Drosophila melanogaster: one gene and its partner. The protein of the gene in region 2 interacts with the protein of the main gene of each other region in a pairwise test. Each region holds a gene or a part of one and is shown on either strand. Other genes may lie near its edges.

What was found.
Region 1: the proteins of how (region 2) and Fancl interact in a two-hybrid assay, tested with the Drosophila melanogaster proteins (one large-scale study listed by BioGRID).

What each region holds. Positions count from the first base shown.
Region 1 is NT_033777.3:10,050,895-10,054,826, reverse strand, and holds Fancl (fancl), read left to right. Parts: upstream 1-1,957; 5' UTR 1,958-2,020; coding exon 2,021-2,131; intron 2,132-2,188; coding exon 2,189-3,184; intron 3,185-3,241; coding exon 3,242-3,280; 3' UTR 3,281-3,319; downstream 3,320-3,932. Other genes in the region: Npc2e (Niemann-Pick type C-2e), read right to left, coding at 567-898, 957-1,064, 1,363-1,429; ohgt (ohgata), read right to left, coding at 3,506-3,813, 3,885-3,932. UniProt on the Drosophila melanogaster protein: Ubiquitin ligase protein that mediates monoubiquitination of Fancd2. Ubiquitination of Fancd2 is stimulated by ionising radiation.
Region 2 is NT_033777.3:22,040,301-22,045,260, forward strand, and holds the start of how (held out wings), read left to right. Parts: upstream 1-1,890; 5' UTR 1,891-2,055; intron 2,056-2,606; 5' UTR 2,607-2,763; coding exon 2,764-3,079; intron 3,080-4,960. UniProt on the Drosophila melanogaster protein: RNA-binding protein involved in muscle development and dosage compensation. Vital role in steroid regulation of muscle development and to control heart rate.

The sequences.
Region 1 (3,932 bases), about 12 Mb from region 2:
TTCACTGAAATTTAATACAATGATTTATGTATATCTTCGAAAGTAATCCCATAAATCATGTTTGCAAATGATAGGCTTCTTTGGAAACACTTCTCATTATGATTTAATCTGGTGGTAATCACTATCACTAGTTAGACATTTTTAAGGCAGATTTTCTCCGAGTGTACTGTTGCACCCAGCAAGACGTTTATCGCCTTATCACACAGGAGAGCCCAACTTTTGACCATATGGTCAATGCGATCTACGGCGGCCAATAAATGATTATCACGACGATTTTATTAGCCAATTGTGCCACTGAATCAGTGGAAATAAATTAATAGACTTTCGGTGCAAAAAGGAACGTCACAAATGACTGTATATAAATAAATACGCTTGAATATCTAATCGGCGGTGCCCAGAAATGTGTTAATCTTCAGCCTGATTGTGCACTGAGTACACTGGAATTCGTGACGTAGCCAAGGTAAACAAATGGTCTTATCTGTGCAAGAGTTTTGTGGTTTATTATTTGGCAAACAAGTGGAAATATTCAGTCGGCCGAAACGGCTGGAGTTGCGTACATCGTCGGCTTAAAGGGGGTTCGTCCAGTCCAACAGATATCCGTCCATCTGTGCTGCAGTGGCTCCCTTCCGGATTTTACAGCTCACGACGAAGCAGGTGATCGGTTCGTTCTGCGCATCGTTCAACGTGACAGTGACATCCGCCGTTATTTCCGGGAACGAAGGCTCCACATAGAAGTTGAACTGATACGTGACATCCTCGTCCTTGTCGATGGGACAGATGGCACCGTACAGGAGATTGCGGCACACATCGGACACTTCGTCGGGTAGGGCATATGGCAGATTCATGCCCAAAACCTTTGCCGTTGTGGTGGCCGTAATGCTCTTGATATTGTTGTTATCTGCAAGACATCGATGATGAGATTCAAGTGGACACGGATATAGATGGCCGAAACTTACTGCCCAGGAAGTGCACCTCCATGACTGCTATGGTTCCTTTGTACACAACGCACGGCGGTTCCTCGCAATCCTTAATATTCACATCCAGTGGAAACGGCTTATTTTTGCCTGAAAGCGGAAATATGTTTTCGAAGAATCAAAAGGTGAGCTCAAAAGAAGGCTATGTTTTTTTTTCTAAGAGATTAGCTGTTTGTTGATAAGCCATATCAACCTGGCCAACAGATACACGTTAGGACTTTAAATTTCTCTCAGAACGTATTTTTGGCAATAGTTTTCGAGACAAAGTCTGCGAAGTGAATCATCGTCATAGAAATCTGTTAGAATCATGAATCCAATCTAACAAACTGGTCGATTTAAAATGATTTGATGTTTTTCCAACAAAATAAAAGAGTTTTTAGCTACTTACACTGCTGGACATTGGTGGCATTGACTGTGGCCAGAATTAGAGCCAAAGTTACAACGATTCGCAGCATTTTTCTGGATGGAATCTTTTTTAATCTTACTTCAGAAGAATACAATATACATTGAGTACGCGCGCACGCAGATGACAATCGTGAGTGGAATCGATGGGGCTGGTGGAGAACCTTAAATAGCCCCGTGTTCGAACGATGACCAACGCCTGTAGAGAGCAGTTTATCAAAATCGGTGGCTATTGCCATTGATACGGGGCCGCCACGCAGGTGTTACAAAAGAAAACCACTGTGGCCTGCAGGTGTTGCGCTCTGACGAAGAGCAAACAATGCCGATTCGAATCAGTAAATAACGTAAATTTGGCTGATAAGTAGGGAGAGGCTGAACTACAATGTTGCCGGCTATACCTAGTAAACAAAACAGCCAGAGGGTGAATATGTAAGCAAGGCGGAATATTGGCTCGAAGGGTTAATAAACATATAATTTAAGGTTTGATCGAGCAATCAAATTTAAAAAAGCGGCCGATTAATTTCCTATCGATCGTGATTGAAGACTTTGTGTCATCGAAGACTGCACATCTCTAACTATGGCCGTTCAAAACATAAAATGTAAACAAAAGTCATTCAAGCACAATCTGACCAAAATCAAATATAATGGAAAGTAACGAAGATGTAGAGCGCCTTCTGTGTCAAAAGTATCCTGGTCTGGCAGCGGAGCTTCAGCCAAGTGGAGCGTGCATCATCAGAGGAGTTTTGGGCAGTGAGGTAAGTTATCCGTATTTCAATTTTTCCCGCCAAACTAATAATGATTGTATAATTAAGGATACATGGCGCCGCCTTAAACTCTATCTGCCACACCACCCAGCTCTTCATGGTTTCCAGCTCTACGTCCAGGAAAGCTTGGAGTACAAGCTGTACACATCGGCTAATCTCAAGTTACAGGACGATTGGCTGCTGGAGGATTTTCTGGACCATTTGCCAAAGATTCTTCCTGCCCAAAAAGCCCCAACAGTGCCAAAGGAACTATGTCGGGAGGGGAACATATATTACGATATCCTGGCCTTGTACAAGTCAAACGAGTACTGCCTGCAAGTGGACGAGGCCTGTTCCATGATTCGTTTCAGCGAATTCACCGACTTCGAGCAGCATTATCTGGAGCTTAAGATCCCGTCTCTTCTCTTGCTTGATCACAGTTTGCCCGACTGCGTATCGCTGGGTGAAATGCTGACCAAGAGTGCTGGAAACCTAGAGGAGGCCCTAAACCTCTTTCGCAAGCTTCTCGAGGATCTGCGTCCCTTCTACGACAACTTCATGGATATCGACGAGCTTTGTCATGTGCTGCAACCATCGCCCATCAGCAGCAAACACAAAACACGACTGTTCCCTCTCAAGGATCGCGTCTACTTGAAGCTGACCATCGCGGATCCCTTTGCCTGCATTGCATCCATGTCGCTAAAGATCATTGGGCCCACGGAAGAGGTGGCCCGCCTGCGCCACGTTCTCAGCGATGGTCTAAGTAACTGGGACTCCGAAATGAACATTCACAAGAACCTACTCCGAATGTTCGACTTGTGCTACTTTCCCATGCCAGACTGGTCGGATGGACCCAAGCTGGATGAAGAGGACAACGAAGAGCTGCGCTGTAACATTTGCTTTGCCTATCGCCTGGATGGTGGCGAGGTGCCCCTCGTCTCCTGCGACAATGCCAAATGTGTGCTAAAGTGCCATGCCGTCTGTTTGGAGGAGTGGTTTAAGACTCTGATGGATGGCAAGACCTTTCTGGAGGTCTCCTTCGGCCAGTGTCCCTTCTGCAAGGCGGTAATATTGCCTATCATTTCATCTATTGCCAATGTACAACTGCTTTATCTTTTTCAGAAGCTGTCCACCTCATTTGCGGCACTTTTAAATGATTGAAATTTGTAACCATAATATTAAAAGCAAATATTTAAGAGTAACTTATTATTCAAATAATCGTAAATATCAATTAGGTTTACATCCACGCCATCAAACGCCGTGTGTTTTTGCTAAAAGTAGTTGTGAAACGAATTAAACAGGTCCCACCTGATGGACCGCATCATTCTCCTGACGACGCCAGCAGCAGAGTTGACATCTGAAAAATCGCTTCACAACGCGCCAGCCTCATTCCATATCGCTTGAGATCATCCGCATCATATTCCGCACCACATAGGTGGTTCCATTGAAGGGCGAGTACTCGCTGGCTTTTCCAATCCGCACGCTGGAGCCGGCCAAACCGAAAAACACCTTGGGTGTTAGGTTGGGATGCACGGCCTTGAACTCCCACCCGACGTGCTGGGCGCAGAACTTGCACAGAATAATGTGCCACTGATAGCCGGGGAACCAGCTAAACTTTGTGGACGGCTCGCCGCTGTAGCCGATGGCATGGGATATCACCCGGTACACGGTGTTTGTCTCGTGGATGTAGCCCTCTGTAAAGTAGTTAGTTTCAGTGAATTCATTGCTTATAGAAGACGGACATTGGACTTCTCCTTATGCTTACCTGGATTGCAATACTGTGTCTGCACACCGTGTTTGGACATGGCAAAGA
Region 2 (4,960 bases):
ACCAAAATTTCTGAACTTTTCAGTTTACACAAAACTTGAACCAATTCAAGCATTTTCTCGCCTAACTTTACAGCTGCTGGAAAACTTTTATTTTGCGGCCATTTCGGTTTTCCAAAACCGAAAGTGCCGCCCAAAACGACCCACTCACAATGTAAAACACCACATTCAAAAGGGCAAATTCCAAAAGCACTAGAGAGATTAACGGCCCACGGAAAACTTGGCACTTCGGACTTGGCCAGATGTCCAATGGGCCGATACTGGGCGACGTGGGTGTGCGGATTGGAAAGGGCTTTGGTCTGTGGCCCAGAGATTTAAATCGGATATCCATCCATAGGCATACAATGTCTCAATCGCCACGCACATTGACACATTTTTCAATGGCACTAAAACTGTATAATGGGGCCGTACAACGCATTTAATGTCGGCCCACACACACAGGCCAATTCCGATCGGTTTGAGCCAAGTGCACACAAATTTGGTGGGACTTGTGGCCGGACTGTGAAACTTGGCCAGGTGAGGTCCGGTGGTGGGAGTCTGCTTTCCAATGGAACGACCAATCCGATGTCCATCCACAACTTTGGCCACAACTTTAAACTTTCACGTCTCATTTTGGTGTATGCTGGTTTCAAAAATCGGATCTTGCCCCATGCCTGCCGTTGGCTAGATGTGCCGCCCCAGAAATTTTGGGTTCCGATGGGGAAGACTGTTGCAATGAAGTGATCCTCATACATATATGTATATCAAAATATTGTTGAAGACACAGGCAACACACAATAAGTTCACCGATCCACTGGCATTAAGTGTTGTAATAGTGGAAGGACCTAAATGTGAACAGAACACGAGTAAAATTTTAGAATAAAAGTAGCTTTGTAGACTTAAAAGATTGTTTTATTTTGATACACTTTATCGATAATTAATTATTTTTAGTACGCAATATCTTAATACTGCGTTGAATTTTTGTGAAATTCGCCAACCACACGGAAGCCAGCGAAAAATGTCTTTCGCGATGGAAAGTAAAAGTTGTCGCCGGCCTAGGGTCGCTTATATGGTGCGTCCATCGAAACGCTCGCGAATGCCAATTTTCCCACATACATTTCGCGTTTTGCAGCAGAGTTAACCAAGTTAACACCAACATTTGGCCAGTACGAGTTCGGGGGCTCATTTGCATGGTGTTTTGGACTTGGGGCCCAGATGCCAGCCCCCGCATATGTCCGGCGAAACAAAATGCCGCTTGGTTCTAATCTGCCAGCAATTTCCGTGCGCAATTAATGCCTCCACAGCGCAGTGTCTTAATTAATTCAAAATCAACGCCAACGCGCCAAATTGTGGCCCACCCAGCTACCAGGTGGCAACGCTGAATGTTGTTAGTCAATTAATGCATTAACTAGCCTCCATTTGGAAGAATATTAATGGCCCACCTTTGTATTTAGTTGCTATTAACTTATTTGGCCATTTATTAACTTTTATACTCGCACTTTTGGCTAAAATATGTGTAATATGTTAACCAGCTGCGCAACTCTGTTTGTGCGGAGTGGCAACGCTGATGGGTGATCTCGCATGCTGGCAGTAGGGTGCGAGAGAGCCAAGTCAGAGAGAAACTGACGTCACAAGATGGGTATTGGCGTATTTTTTATGGAAATGGTTATGCAAATATTGACTAAACGTCACCGAGTAGTTAAAAGCACTGATATATTAGAAATTAGTTAATTTAGATCAAAAATACCCCCAAATATATAACCAAATATTGGCTTTTAAATATTTATTAAAAGCAATCGCACTTTGTGACGTCACTGGGCGAGAGAGCAGAGAAACGAGAGCACATTGAAACCACCACCCCACGATCGAACTGGCATGATCTCACACTTACAACGTTTTGTGCTCTTCGCTTCGCATTCAGTTTCTTTTTCTCTTTCTTTGCGCACGGTTCAGTGGTAGGAAAATTAGGAGGAATCGTTCAGTAAAGTCCCGAGATCCGTTCGCTATTCCCCGACTCGAATAAAATCCATATACACATATATCAAATAAACAAAGGATAGGAGTCCTCAGAGAAGAAAAGTGTGTTTAAAAAAAATACTTTCCAAACAAAACGAAATGAATAAAATCCAAAGCCATCCAGTAGCAACAACAAATACATAATCAGCAACTGTGCATATTTCTGCGAGTTTTCTTGCATTTTTAAATCGGTTAAGTGGCCTTGTGCACTCGGTACATCTCCAGGCAAAGGAATTTATACCTTTGTATCTTCAAAACGTAGAAATTTGAATATAAAATTTATTTAAATACTTTTTTGTTGTACTTGCTGTTGCAGCAGCCAAATGAGCGAGGGTGAGAGAGAGAGGCAGCTATTTTGACATTCTGCTTTCATTCATCTCCGTCGCATATACAGTTTTACTGTTTATTGTCCGTGTGTGAGTGAGCGATCGCCGAGGAATTTTCTGCCTTCGCTTTCGACTTGCTGCGCTCTCTCGCTCTCTCAGTATCTCTCGCCCTGCATTGTTGTTGCTGCCGATCGGAAAAAATACTTTTGGGCGGAGTTGTTTTCATTTCGTTTTCCGTTTTTAATATCGCTCGCGTACGAAACTTAATGAATTTCCCAACTCCCACAGTAACGTGTTAAAAGTAGCAAAAACAAATAAAAAAGAAGTGTGCACCAAGTAAAGAAAGCAGAGACCCAAGGAAAGTTGAAAGTTGAAAACCAGAATCTCGTCGAGAACAAAACAAAAAGTTCCCAAAAACCCACACATCACACACGCACGCAACAAAATGAGTGTCTGTGAGAGCAAAGCCGTTGTGCAACAGCAACTGCAGCAGCACTTGCAGCAACAGGCAGCCGCAGCAGTTGTTGCGGTCGCGCAACAGCAGCAGGCTCAAGCCCAAGCCCAGGCTCAGGCTCAGGCACAGCAGCAGCAACAGGCGCCGCAGGTGGTGGTCCCCATGACCCCGCAGCACTTGACCCCACAGCAGCAGCAGCAGAGCACACAGAGCATCGCCGACTATCTGGCCCAGTTGCTCAAGGACCGCAAGCAACTGGCCGCCTTCCCCAACGTCTTCACCCACGTCGAACGCCTGCTGGACGAAGGTAAGTCGCTAAAACTCAAACCGAGTGAGATCCCTCCAAGTCACAGCATCATCCTAATCCCGGATCCAAGACTCAGCGGAAGGATAACGATCACTAGCTAGCCTTTTCTGAATCAAACGATAAACCCAGTTACTGTTTGTTATTGTGATAATATCCTTTTATTCATCAAACACTTTACAGTACCATTAGGAAATTGTTATATATAATAAATGTGATGAAATGTGGTGAAAGAAGAAATTTGGATATTCTTGTTATAATGTTCAGATATTTAACTCTAGAATGTATTAGAACTTTGTGTTTGTATTCCAAAAATTCATGAAAAGAACATTAAACTATTGTAGTATACAAATCGATGCCATTACAGTTTGGTTTATATCTTTTTTAATTGTTCAAAAAATATTTGCAAAGCACTTTAATTCCGAGAATCTGGCGGGATTTATTGTAAACATGTATTACAGAGACTGTAGGTATTTAGAACACATTTGGGTAAATGGGAGAGTTTAAATGAGTATATATGTTATTTTAAAGTGGTGACTTCATTTTCAATCGTGTGTGCCAGGCGTGTTAATGATTAGGGTGCCTCTAACCAAGTGATCACTGTAGTTCAATCAGTTTTGGGGCATGGATCTCTGGGTGTCTGGTTTGTCTCCTCGGCGTCTCCTTTTCGGCATCTTCTCCATCGCGGGTTCTGAGTTCATTCCACCTTACAAACCGAAACGAGATGTTTGTTATTTTTAGTTACTTCCTTTTTGTGCGCCTCTTCGCGGAGCGCACACTACTTACACCTCTCTCCGGGCTCTCTCCTTTTGTATTCTTGGCTCCACACTTGACTGCCAGTGCAGCCTTTGTTGTTCTCATTATGAATTCTTTGTTGACTCGGCCATTCGTAAACCAAAAAGGAGGGAGGCTTGGATTTTGAGAGACGCAGAAGGAGATGCGAAACCCCAGGGGGGGAACCCCCAACAAAGATAGAAACATTAATGTGGTGTGGTATTATGTGATAAGAGATCATTTTATTCACAAGCATGTATGAATTTATACATATGCTAAAAGTTTTAAAATTTTCGAATCTGGAATATTATTGGATCCATTTAATGATCTGCTTTGCTCTGTGCACTGAACGTGTAGCAAACTTATCTGAAAGAGGAAAAATGTACCTCAACTGCCCACGCTTTGCCTCGAAAACCAAAAAAATCAAAAAAAAAGAAAATATGAATAAATATACGGCAACGAAGCAAAAACTCTTAAAGGCAAGCCAACAAAAGTCAACTTTCGGGGCGGGATAGGGGCGGTATAGGGGCAGGGGCGTGGCACTACCTGGTCGCATCTTGTATCTTGTATCTGGCATATCGGAGCTCTCGTTTCTGTATTTGCCCAACATCTGTTGCCCATATGCAGGCCGGCCAAGAGGGTGTGTGTCGCCTCGTAATGACAAAATTATGTTGCACAGATACACAGATTCAGATACTGGTGCGGTATTTGCGGATTGCAAGGTACCGCTAGATGGCCAGAGTACACTTATTATGTACAGCGTATGTTTGGATTACTTTAATATACGTTTTTTTTTACCATATTGCTTAATCAATTTGTTTATAATTGCTACTACAATTTAAATTACATTTAATTATTGCAATTAAACTTGAAATGTGATAGCAAATGGTCTGTATAATAAGATGCAAGATCTTGATTTCTCTCTTCATTTGGAAAATATCCAAGAAGTCGGTGGTCTTATCTAGACCAATCAGATTATTGATTACCAGGTACCAGGAGGTATCGCACTGTCGGAAAACTCGCCCAAAAGCTTATATTCTTGTTTTGGTTTCGTCTCGGCATAACTGCAAACTAGTTTGCCTGTCTACAAATTGTATTTGCTAAAAGCAA